Caenorhabditis elegans: one gene and its partners. The protein of the gene in region 2 purifies or fractionates together with the protein of the main gene of each other region. This does not show direct contact. Each region holds a gene or a part of one and is shown on either strand. Other genes may lie near its edges.

Region 1 (3,328 bases), on a different chromosome or scaffold from region 2:
AAATCTGGCACCCGAATGTCAGCTCGCAGACCGGCGTCATTTGCCTCGATATTCTTAAGGATCAATGGTAATATTGCGATTATTATTTTAAAATCGGAAAATTTAATTTATTTTCAACTTCAGGGCCGCTTCGCTGACTCTTCGCACGGTTCTCCTGTCGATTCAGGCGTTGATGTGCACACCGGAGCCCAAGGATCCTCAAGATGCCGTCGTCGCCAAGCAATACATGGAGAAGCCAGCAGTTTTCAAGGTAGCAGCGTGGAAAATTCAGAAAATTCGCGGAAAAATGGGGAAAATATTGCGAAATCCGATTAAAAAATCAATATGGGTCTGCTAAGTAATTAAGTAATTAGCAGACCCAAATCTTCCCTTATTTTGTGTGTTTTTTTGCGTATTTTGCCCCAAAAATTATCTATAATTTCCCATTTTTCAGGCCAACTCGAGTTTTGAAGCGTCAAAATTGAGAAAATTCGATGGGAAACGTGCAAAATTCGTTAATTCCCGAATTTTGGAGACAATTCTGACTGTTTTACACTGAAATGCACGATTTTCTCGGAAAATTATTGATTTTTGCCCTGAAATTTCAGAATTTGGCCGATTTTCTTTAGAATTTGGGTCTGCCAACTAATTAGCAGGCTTGTAGAAACGCCACGTGGTTTTCGATGGTCTGCTAAATATTTAGCAGACCCAAGTATGGTCTGCTAAATAATTAGCAGACCCAAGTATGGTCTGCTAAATAATTAGCAGACCCAAGTATGGTCTGCTAAATATTTAGCAGACCCTAATCCCGTATTTATCCTTTAAATTTAGTTTTTTTCGCGGAATTTACTGGTTTTTTCTTGTTTTTCAACCAGGAAATCGTTCAAATTCATCACTTTTTGTCCCAGAAGCCGAGAAAAATCAGTTTTTCAGCTCATATCGAAATTTGTTTTTCAAAAAGAAATTATAAAAAAGTTTAGCAGACCCAAAACTCAACAAATTTGGCGAAGTTGTTTTTAGTCTAAAAACTCGAATTTCCCCGAAAATTCGTTGTTTCCAGTGAGTGTAAAAACTCGAGAAATCTCAAAAAAAAAATTGGTTTTCATTCGAATTTTCTCAATTTCCACGCTTGAAAACTTTAGGTAGCCTAGAAAATAGACAAACATAGACAACATAAACTGAATAATAGCCTAATATGCTCTTAATATACTAAATTTCCACCATTTTTCAGGCCACCGCCGAGTACTGGACGACAAAATTCGCAAAGGGAGCCGTGAAAAACGCCGGATACCAGGCTCTCGTCGACAAGCTCAAGGATATGGGAGTCCGTGAGGAAGAGGCTGTCAGCGTGCTCAGCTGCAACAATTGGGACATCAATCGCTCGACGGTCTACATTTTCTCTTAAATTCTTTTTTATTCGATTTTTTTGAATTTTTTCTGTGAGCCTCTTGTCTTGAAGTTTGTGTCCTAAAAATCCCTTATTTCTTCCATTTTTTTCCGAGAAATTTTCGTCCCCAACCCCCCGCACCACTGGTATTTCTTTTTACCAATTCGTACCATCCTCACCCCAAAAAAACCGATCAGAATAGTAGATTTTCCGCCTGATTTGTGTGTGTTTTGCCTATTTATTATCGATATTATTCATTGAAATTTCCCCCCTTTGACCCCCATTTTTTTTGCAACGATACTCTTTCCATGAATTATATTGACGGAGTTGTAGCTGCAATTTTTATCCGATTTTCTGAAAATTTTTGGCGAATGTCGTTTTTAATATCTTTAAAACTCCATTTTTATCTGTAAAATCTATAATTTTAGCACCCAAAAAAATGCCAGCAGAGCCACAAAAATCCACAGAAGCCGGCAGCGTGGCACCGGAGAAGAAGCTGAAAGCGTGCTGCGCGTGTCCTGAAACGAAACGAGTGAGGTTTTGATGGAAAATGGAAAAATGGCGAAAAATTCCAATTTTGCGGTTGAAAATCGCTAAATTTTACATTTCGACTATCCAAAACTGATTTTTCCGAGTTTTTGCATCAAAAATCGAGAATTTCTGGGAAAAAACTCAATTTTGAACATAAATTCGAAAAAAAATGGGTCTGCTAAATATTTAGCAGACCCATTTTTGGTCTGCTAAATATTTAGCATACCCAACTTTGGTCTGCTAATTATTTAGCAGACCCAAGTATGGTCTGCTAAATATTTAGCAGACCCCAGTATGGTCTGCTAAATATTTAGCAGACCCCAGTATGGTCTGCTAAATATTTAGCATACCCAATTTTGGTCTGCTAAACATTTTGCAGACCCAATTTCGAAAAATCTTAATTTTTTCCTCAAAAACGGAATTTTCTTGGTTTTTACAGCAAAAATCGAGAATTTCCGCGATTTTCTGACTAGAAAACCTGAAAAATTCGTGAAATTCGTTGAAAAAACTCAATTTGGAACAGAAATTCGAAAAAAAATGGGTCTGCTAAATATTTAACAGACCCAAAACTACACTAATCCCGTTTTCCTTAGCTAAAAACCCCAGATTTTCACACTTTTTCGTCATTTTCAAATGATTTTCCATTCAAAACAAATGAAATAACCCCAATTTTCAGGTCCGTGACGCTTGCATCATCGAAAACGGCGAGGAGAAGTGCGGAAAACTGATCGAAGCCCATAAAGCCTGCATGCGAGCCGCCGGATTTAATATTTAACTGAAATTTTTAATTTTTTTGCATTTTTGAATGTTTTGTTATAGCTGTAGCTAGTTTTCTTGTTTTTTTTCTTCAAATTTTCATATTTCATAGCTTTAACATGAATTTTTCTGTTTTTTTTTCTTTTAAAATTAGTTTTTCTCACTGAAAACCGTGGTTTTTCCATTAAATGTATATATATATATATTTTGCCACGTGGCTCTATTGTTTATTTTTTATTATTTATCTGTAAACTTTTCCAGATGGATCAAAAAACGGGCCGGCAAAAAATGGAAGAGGCCGAGTACCTCCACGTGGGCCTCAATAGAATATTCGAAATTGCCAAGGAGAAGGTGGAAGTTGTCAGAATTGGGTAAAAAAACGGAATTTGCACTTTAAAATACCCAAAATAATCTGAAAAATCGCTTTTAATGCAGAAAAATGGAAAATTTCGCATTTTTCTGGAAAAAAATGTGAAAAATGTGATTTTTCTCCAAGAAATATTCGAAAAATCACTTTTTTTATGTTTAAAAATGTGATATTTCTTGGTTTTTTTTTCAGTATTTTCGAGTATTTTAACATTTTTATTTTAGAAATGGCTCAAATGACAAGAAACAGCTAGCGAATGACGTCAGAGAGGCACAGAAGGTGCTCAGAACTATGCAAACTCGAATTTC
Region 2 (3,149 bases):
AATTTTCAAATCTTATTTAATTGGTGCCGAAAAGCTCAAAAACTTCGAATCAACACAAAAATAAGAAATTAAATACACAAACCTTTCCAATTCAGCAGATGTCATAGCTCGACTCGTGTCATTTATGCCCAAAAGTTCAAGATTTTTAACTTTTTCCAAAACTTCAAAATCAGCAGTCATCAGAATAACCATTGAAGAATCTCCGAGACTTTTTGATTTATTATAATAAAATGCAGAATAAATGAATATATCATAAGGTGCCGAATGAAATACTTCTTCATTTTCAAGATCTGGTGAATCGATTCGACTGGAAATTTATCGTTTCAATCATTTTTGAACGGTGATAATTTTTAACTATCAATACTTACATAAATTGAAGTAAGACTGCCGTTACAAAAAATAAAAACGAAAAAAGTAATACCACAGACAGAACCGATGGAATTATTCGTGGAAGCATTTTGGCTGATCTGACGCACTTGTTTTGTGTCCTAACGCGTCCCGCAAGTTATCTGAACATCTAATCTCGAACTACCTTCAATGAGTGCGACGGTCAAAATGAGGAGTAACAGTTTTCATTAATTTAGCAATAAAATAATAAGGCAAAAAATTTGAAAATCAAAGACAAAACAAATGAATTGAGTGGGGGAAATGATGGAAGATTTTGAATGTGAAGGAGCTGCTCGTCCGGATTTTTTCAGCTCAGTTTTTCTGGACAGGTAATAGGTCTGAATATAAAACATGATAGTGTGTGATGAATGGGGAAGAAAAAAACAATCAGAAATAAGGGGAGAATTGGCGGTAAACGAGGAAAACCAGAGTAGACATATAAGATGAAGCTGTGGATTGTTAAATTGCAATTGCAAAAACATAGACGATTGCAAGCATTGTTTTGGCTTCCCAACGGTACATGTACGAGGCTGAAAATGAGATTTTTTGAGCTATAAGTTGAATACCAACTTTCAAAATCAGAACTTTGTGAGTAATAAATTTATTTCCCTCTTTATTATTTAATGTTTTAATACAAAATGTTAACTCACAATCCGTGACTTTATTCCAGTAGGAAATCGTGCTAACATTGAGACCGGAACCGCTCGAGATCTGAAGGAACGACGAGGTAACCACATATTTGTATGGTTTTCCCGCTGCCACTAGCTTCTTCGTTATTTGTTCGACGGCCTTCTGATTCCACTGAACACTGTCCTTGTGGGTATACTGGGTGCTTGCGCCTACAACCTCGTCGAGTACCTGAAAGATTATTGGATTACGAGAATGTGAATAAACAATAATCAACTCAAAAATTATAGTTTTTCAAAGAATTAATACAGTAGACATATAAAATATCGGTACCTGCTTGATGATCATGTGAACGTCCTCCTCTGCCAAAGCCATGATGTTGAGCTTGTGAGAGCTGAATATTGAGTTTAATTATTAAAAAAGAGACAGTATAAATAAATCAAGTGCGCTCAAACGGCAATTGAAGTATCAGAAATTAAGATATAAACATCTTTAAATAATTTATTCTCATAAAACGAGAATACATACGACTAGAAAATAAAATCAAAAAACTAATATTAAATTGGAAATACAGATAATGCATGTTATGGTAGGAATGTTATGTCACAATATGTGAGTTTTGAAAATAAATAGTTAAATATATATTTAGGCTTCCGGCTCGAAATCGACATGAGTGAGGCATGCAGATAAATCGCGTCCGAGTTCAGCTGTTCCAGCGCAGAGAACTTTTCTTGACATGACGTCAAATGGGGATCCAGTTGGATCAGTGACAACACCTCCGGCTTCTGTGACAATGATAGAAGGAGCAGCAACATCCCAAGCGTGAATCCCGTATTCAACATATCCATCGCAACTTCCTTGTGCAACCATCACCATGTTGATCGCGGCGGAGCCAAACGAACGGTGTCTGAAAAAAAAACTTGGATTTTTTTCAAATAACTTTTATTATGTATAACAATATTAAAAATAATAATATCACATCATCCTCGTGATTTTTTTCATATTAAACTTTGTCCATCCAACATCTAACTTTTCCATCTTATCCATTTCTCAATTTTAGTAAAACTTTCAAAAAATTTGCAAACGCACAGTTCAAGAAAGTCACTAGATTTCGACAAGAATATAAAAAATATTTATAAGTACCCGTGACATTGTTTGTCGAACATAACAGTCTTGTAAGAATCAACAAATGATTTCTGCATAACAGGAGATCGAATTGAGCCAAGTTGAAGTATGAGCACACTTTCCGCAATGACTGGAATTTGCAACGTTTCTATGTGAATGTAAATAAAATTGAAAGTAAAACGTGCAAAACCAGCGCGGGAAGTGTGGAGGTATATTTTTTGTAAAAAAGTAATCAATTTTAGACCAAAAAATTAAAACAAACCCTCGCACACCAGCCATCACTTGATTTCGCATGTTTGACTGGGCAATGTCGAGCCAGCGATCGCCGAACTGAACACGATTATGCAGACCGAGAGATTGACAGAGAACTCCCTTTGAAAGCACTTCAAAAAGCAGGGTGCATGACAAGAAAAGTGCAATTACTTACATTGATTCTTTGATGCTCGGATTGGAAATCCATTTTTGAAAGCTCCCTTTCCGAGTTGAGCGAGATAAAGTTCATTAGTGATTGGATTGTATACGATTCCAGCACGAATTTGTTTTTTGATTGCAAGTCCAACGCAGATTGCGATCATAGGGATTCTATAATAACATAAGAATTTGTTTTTCGAGAAAAATTTGAGTCCAAATTAGAAATTAAATAACGCGATTTGCCATTATTTGAAGAGTCCGATTTAAAAAAAATCTTACCTATGAACAAAGTTAGTAGTTCCATCAATCGGATCAATAATCCATGTTGGTGCATCAGTCCATTCAATTTTCGCACCTCCGGCTACAGATTCCTCGCCAATGAATCTGAATCAAAATAGTAAATTTATGTAAATACTCGATTGAAAAAGAAAGTCCAACTGGTTGTCATGGAGACAATGAGTGAAATCGAGCGGACCGTGGGAATTCCTTGCTCTTACCTATGTCCTTTGAATCTCTCGGAGAGCCCTTCGATGAGAAGCTTTTCAACAGCTTGGTCAGTTTCAGTCACCAAATCAGTATTCGATGATTTTGTGTCAACC
Region 3 (5,216 bases), on a different chromosome or scaffold from region 2:
CAAATTTTTCATAATTGCATAGAACATTAAAAACATTACAAAAAACATCAAAAAAGATGCAGCACGAGGAACCTGACATCTCAAATACACACTGAATTATGCCCTTCTCGAGTGATCTGCTTTCGGAAGATAGCTATCGAACCCGGTAGATCAGCCTCTCGTAGATCAAATATGCGTGATAGATTGAAAATTAATCCCGAAATGTTCTTTAATATTGTAGATTCGTAATCTGTGAAATCGAAGAACCACGCTATCAAGTTTTGTTTCAAAAACTGGAAAATGCTGAACCCAAGTTTAGGAATTTTAAGAAATCGTGTACTTACCTCAAATTTTTATTTTTAATTTTCAGTAGAGGCTAGTTAGACACTTTTAGTTGCTTGGCCGTTAATCAATGGAAATTTAATAATTTATACTGTACATATGTTATTTTTCTCTATTTTTTCCATTTTATTTTCGGCAACCGGTTTTTGGAATTTTTTTTGTCAGATTTTTACAGTTTATGTTCTGGATGGGATTGTTTTTTTTAATCTCAAAATTTTTGCACGTTTCAGGTTTCAATATCATTTTACATATTCAATGAGAAATCAACTTTTCTGCAGAAGCCAGCGTCCACTTCAAAATAATTTTTGAACGGTATAGCAAATTGATAATAGTTAAGATTTCAACAACCAGGCTGTCACATAAAAATTGCACTCTATAAAAAATCGGTTTTTCAAAGAATTGGCAAACGTACAGAACTGTTCATTTCAGTACGAAAGTATAACTTTTTCAAATCAAATATTTAAAAAAAATGTAGAAAATTGTTTGTTCAATCTGAAATTTTTATTCATTTTTATTTGAAAGTTTAAAAAATACCTCAAACGGTCGTTGAAAATTTCAGTTTGCTGTGAAAAATTCAAAGTAATTTTTGCACAAAACAACAATTTTAAGGCCCTATTTAAAGTTTCTTTTAGATTTTTCAACAATAAACTTTTTATTTTCAGAAGGCCTTTCCGGCATTTCTATTTTTTTTTTTTTGACTGTAAATATAACTTTTTAAAACAATTTTTGAAAATTTTTACTATGATATTTCCTAATTTTGGCACGATATTACGCTACTTCACCTTTTAAAAATTTTTAATTTGTGTCTTTTGTTGTTTTTTCATTACTTCAAACGATCAAATAATGATTTTCGAACTCACCCACTTTTCGGTCATCTGACAACACTTTTCCCCTCTTATCTAGGCGTCCTTCATTTCAACGTCGTCCACTTCCTACTACTGTTTCATCACATGAACATCTATCTGCATGTATTTCAAATTTCTGTCAATAGTCTCAGTTCTCACATTGCCACAAACAAAAACAATTGTCATGTTTTTGGAATTTGCATGAAAAAAAAGTGAAAATTGGCCTCCGCATCATTGAACATTTTCCGTTACGGTCTTTTCATCTTTTTTCTATTTTTCCGGCATTCATTTTTTGTGACTGAGCGAAAACCGTTTGTTCATCTCTCGTCTCTATTTCTTGCCGATGGTCACAAAATACCTCTTATCATTTATTTTGTTTATCATTTTGTCATCTATTGGTTTAAACGTAGCTTCTCCTTTTACATTTATCAGTTTTCTGCTTTTCGGTCATATTCATTTTGAGTATTTGCAGAATGACCGTAGACTCTATTCCATTGAATACCGGAGCTCAGCTTCCACTTTTCGGATTGGGAACGTGGCAGGTGAAGGATGAAGCTGAGCTGACTGTGGCTCTTCGTGCAGCTCTTGATGCTGGATACAGACTTATTGGTGAGTGCTGTCCTAGATGGAAACCATAATTTTTTTTTAGTCATGTTTTCTTTTCTTCTTCCATTTGAGATGTCACAAAAAAATAATTGGAAAATAAAAACCGATTTAAAAAATGTTATTTTTGGCCAAAAACGGAAAACTCAAAAAAAAAGTGGTGGCTTGCTCAAACCAGTTAATTAAATTTTTTGCACAATTGAAAAAAAACATTAAAAATTTTGAAATTTTTTTCCAACATTTTTTACATTCGGTAACTACGACCCATTTTCAAAAAACCGACAAACTTTACTCACACCTTTAACTTCAGATTTTCCCATTCAAATTCTAGGTATTTTTCTACTTTTTGACACAAATGTTGAGATTTTTTACGGTGTCCAGTTTTTCGAGTTTTCGAATAAAACCATTGGCAAAGTTGATCCTTGGAGGGCAGTTTTGACAACGTTTTGACAACTGAAAATCCCATTTTTTCAATATTCAGACACTGCTCACCTCTACCAAAACGAGCACATTATTGGAAAAGTGCTCCATGAGTACATCTCATCTGGAAAACTGAAACGCGAGGACATCTTCGTCACCTCTAAACTTCCATTTACCGCTCACGCCCCGGAAGATGTTCCAAAATGTGTGGAAAGCCAATTGAAGGCGCTTCAACTTGAGTATATTGACCTGTATTTGATCCATTGCCCATTCCCATTCAAACATCAGGAGGGAAGCTTTGCTCCATTGATGGAGAATGGAGAGCTTGCTGTTACAGAAATCGCTCATATTGATACATGGAGAGCGTTGGAGAAGTTGTACAAGGAGGGAAAGCTTAAGGTTTGTGAGATTTGGTCTTGAAGGAACATCAGCAATTTCGATTTCCATAAAGTAATTGAATCAGGGGTGGGCGGCAATGCCATTCGGCAAATTTTTTTGTCGACAAGTTCGGCAAAACGGCAAATTGCCGGTTTGACGGTTTGCCGGAAGTTTTCATTTTCGGCAATTCGCTGATTCGCCGTTCGCCATTATATAAATTTGCCGGAAGTGTTTAGAGGGAATTTTTTATAAGACGGAAGCACTTAACACTGTGTCTTTTTGAAATTTTTTCCCGTTTTCATTAAACATTTTCAAAGGATTTGCTTATTTTTCAAAACAGATGTAGAAACATTCATAGGATGCGTACAATTTTGCCGATTAAAATTGAAATTCTGAAATTTCCAAAAAAAAAAGTGCAAAACCACAATTTTTCGAAAATTATTGGCCTTTTTTCCGGCAAATTCGGTAAGCAATTTGTCAGTTTGCCGATTTGGCGGAAATTTTTAAACAGGCAGTTTGCCCGAAAAATCGTTTGCCGTCCATGTGATGAAAAGTTTGTATTAAAAATGTTCTTATTAAATTTTTTCTTGAAAATTTCCAGTGGTTTATTCAAAAAATGTAGTCAAAATTAGACCCACCGGGTGTCAGCTGCTGTAACGTTTTTTGGAATACATATACTTATAAAATTTCAGCAGAATGTAGAAAAATTAGTTGCCAATATTTTGTTAACTATCCATGTTCAAGTTACACGTAGTGTTCTTTCTCCAAAAATATAATTTTCAGGCCCTTGGAGTATCCAACTTCAGTTGCAACCAGCTTCAAGCGCTCTATGACGCCGCCGAAGTGAAGCCAGCCAACCAACAAGTCGAGTGTCACATCTATTGGCCACAACAAGAGCTCCGTGCTCTGTGCAAAAAACTCGGAGTCACTGTTACAGCATACGCACCACTTGGCTCACCAGGCAGAAAAGCTGCTCGTCCGGACGGTGTCTGGCCGGAAGGTGACCCACTTCTCGAGCCAATCGTCAAACAACTGGCTGCCAAGTATCACAAAACTGCTGCACAGATTCTCATTCGCCACCTGACTCAACACGGTATTTCGACGATTCCGAAGAGTGTCAGTCCGGACAGAATTGTTGAGAATATCTCGACGTTTGATTTTAAGCTGAGCGATGAGGATATGCACACTTTGAACAGTATCGAGACCAGAACTAGACTTTTCATCGCTGATTTGTAGGTTTTTTATCTATGGAACGAATGTTTTAAAATTAAAAAAAACCATTTCAAGTTTGAAACTTTTATATTTTTGTCGAAATTATTTCCCCTCCACTCGCTCACTTCAGGATATTTTCCCGTCAGTGGGCCGGTAAATCTTCAGTAGTCCAAACCAAGAGTGCGCTGCAATTGGCAATTTCATCAATTGCCGGTTTTGAAAAATTCCGGCAATCGGCGATTCCGGCGATTGCCGAAATTGCAGAAATTGTCGATTGCCGGACATTTTCGGCGATTTTCAAACCTAACTATATTTCGGAAATTGAAAAAATTGCAAATTGGTTTTTAGTATTCAGTTAGTCATTTTCTGAAAGAAAGCGTTAAATCCATCAAGGATTCAATCATTTTGAGCTTGAAAAAGGAAAATTGTTCCTTAAAATGCATGTTTAGGCTAAAATTATATTTCCGGCAATTCTGATTTCCGGCAACTGGCAATTTTGGCAATTGCCAGTTTTGGAAATTTTCGGCAATTGACAATTTTGCCAACTGCCGAAATTTCCAAAATTGGCAAAAATTCGATGGTCCAAACTCAAGAATTCCAGCTCAAAATTATACAATCCTATAAACAAATTAAATCACACTTTTCCTCGTGTAGTACACAAAGCTATGCAAATTATCATTGTATAATTTTTCAGCGCTGTCAAGCATCCATTCTTCCCACACGACGACATTGACACCTCCAAAGTTCCAAAAGTTGGGATCAGACTTCACTAGACTTTTGGCTCAACTTGTGAATTAGAAAACAAAATGGATTGTAGAACTCTTTATCGCACATTTCTTATTATGAATATTTGTAATTTTGATTCGAAATAATGAAGTACATCATATATATATATATATATATATATATATATATATATATATATATATATATATATATATATATTTCCCGCATGTATTTTATGGTCGAATATCAGGGGATAAACCAGTCTCGGAAGTGTTGGCGAAACAATAAAAAAAAACAGTTGATGATCGACAAATAATTGGACAACAGGTCTCGTCTCACTTCAAAAGGTTTCCGACGAAGAGGACCATCGACCTTGAGACCAAACAAACGACAGATTTTTGATTGCATAATTGAGGATGAAGTGAAGGCACTTCTTTTTTTTGGTGTGCATATCAGATCATAGGCGACTACATTTCGGCACCTCATTTGTTTCCTTACGTTATTCCACACTTAATCTGCCAAAACAGTTTGTGGGGGTACAGGTGGTGGGATTTGGAATGAGTTCCTATAAATAATTTAGGCAAATTATGAATGCTATAGGAAATTTCAATTTTTTTTTGAGATGAAAAATGATGAAGTAGAATATTTAAAAAAAAAACAATTTAAATTAGCATATTCAAGAAAAATTTCAAAATTTTTTTATTTACAGTT

What was found.
Region 1: the proteins of dylt-1 (region 2) and cox-17 fractionate together in Caenorhabditis elegans (co-fractionation; one large-scale study listed by BioGRID). This does not show direct contact.
Region 3: the proteins of dylt-1 (region 2) and exc-15 fractionate together in Caenorhabditis elegans (co-fractionation; one large-scale study listed by BioGRID). This does not show direct contact.

What each region holds. Positions count from the first base shown.
Region 1 is NC_003281.10:189,192-192,519, forward strand, and holds cox-17 (Cytochrome c oxidase copper chaperone), read left to right. Parts: upstream 1-1,794; 5' UTR 1,795-1,805; coding exon 1,806-1,898; intron 1,899-2,573; coding exon 2,574-2,672; 3' UTR 2,673-2,790; downstream 2,791-3,328. Other genes in the region: ubc-20 (UBC core domain-containing protein), read left to right, coding at 1-67, 124-250, 1,211-1,384; sec-20 (Sec20 C-terminal domain-containing protein), read left to right, coding at 2,915-3,024, 3,245-3,328.
Region 2 is NC_003279.8:7,299,506-7,302,654, forward strand, and holds dylt-1 (DYnein Light chain (Tctex type)), read right to left. Parts: upstream 1,409-3,149; 5' UTR 1,390-1,408; coding exon 1,348-1,389; intron 1,246-1,347; coding exon 1,038-1,245; intron 918-1,037; coding exon 847-917; 3' UTR 560-846; downstream 1-559. Other genes in the region: BAH-4 (Glycosyltransferase family 92 protein F13G3.3), read right to left, coding at 83-307, 369-457; Inositol monophosphatase ttx-7, read right to left, coding at 1,660-1,921, 2,402-2,522, 2,567-2,721, 2,830-2,934, 3,048-3,149.
Region 3 is NC_003283.11:4,481,866-4,487,081, forward strand, and holds exc-15 (NADP-dependent oxidoreductase domain-containing protein), read left to right. Parts: upstream 1-1,593; 5' UTR 1,594-1,639; coding exon 1,640-1,775; intron 1,776-2,250; coding exon 2,251-2,588; intron 2,589-3,350; coding exon 3,351-3,799; intron 3,800-4,473; coding exon 4,474-4,552; 3' UTR 4,553-4,678; downstream 4,679-5,216.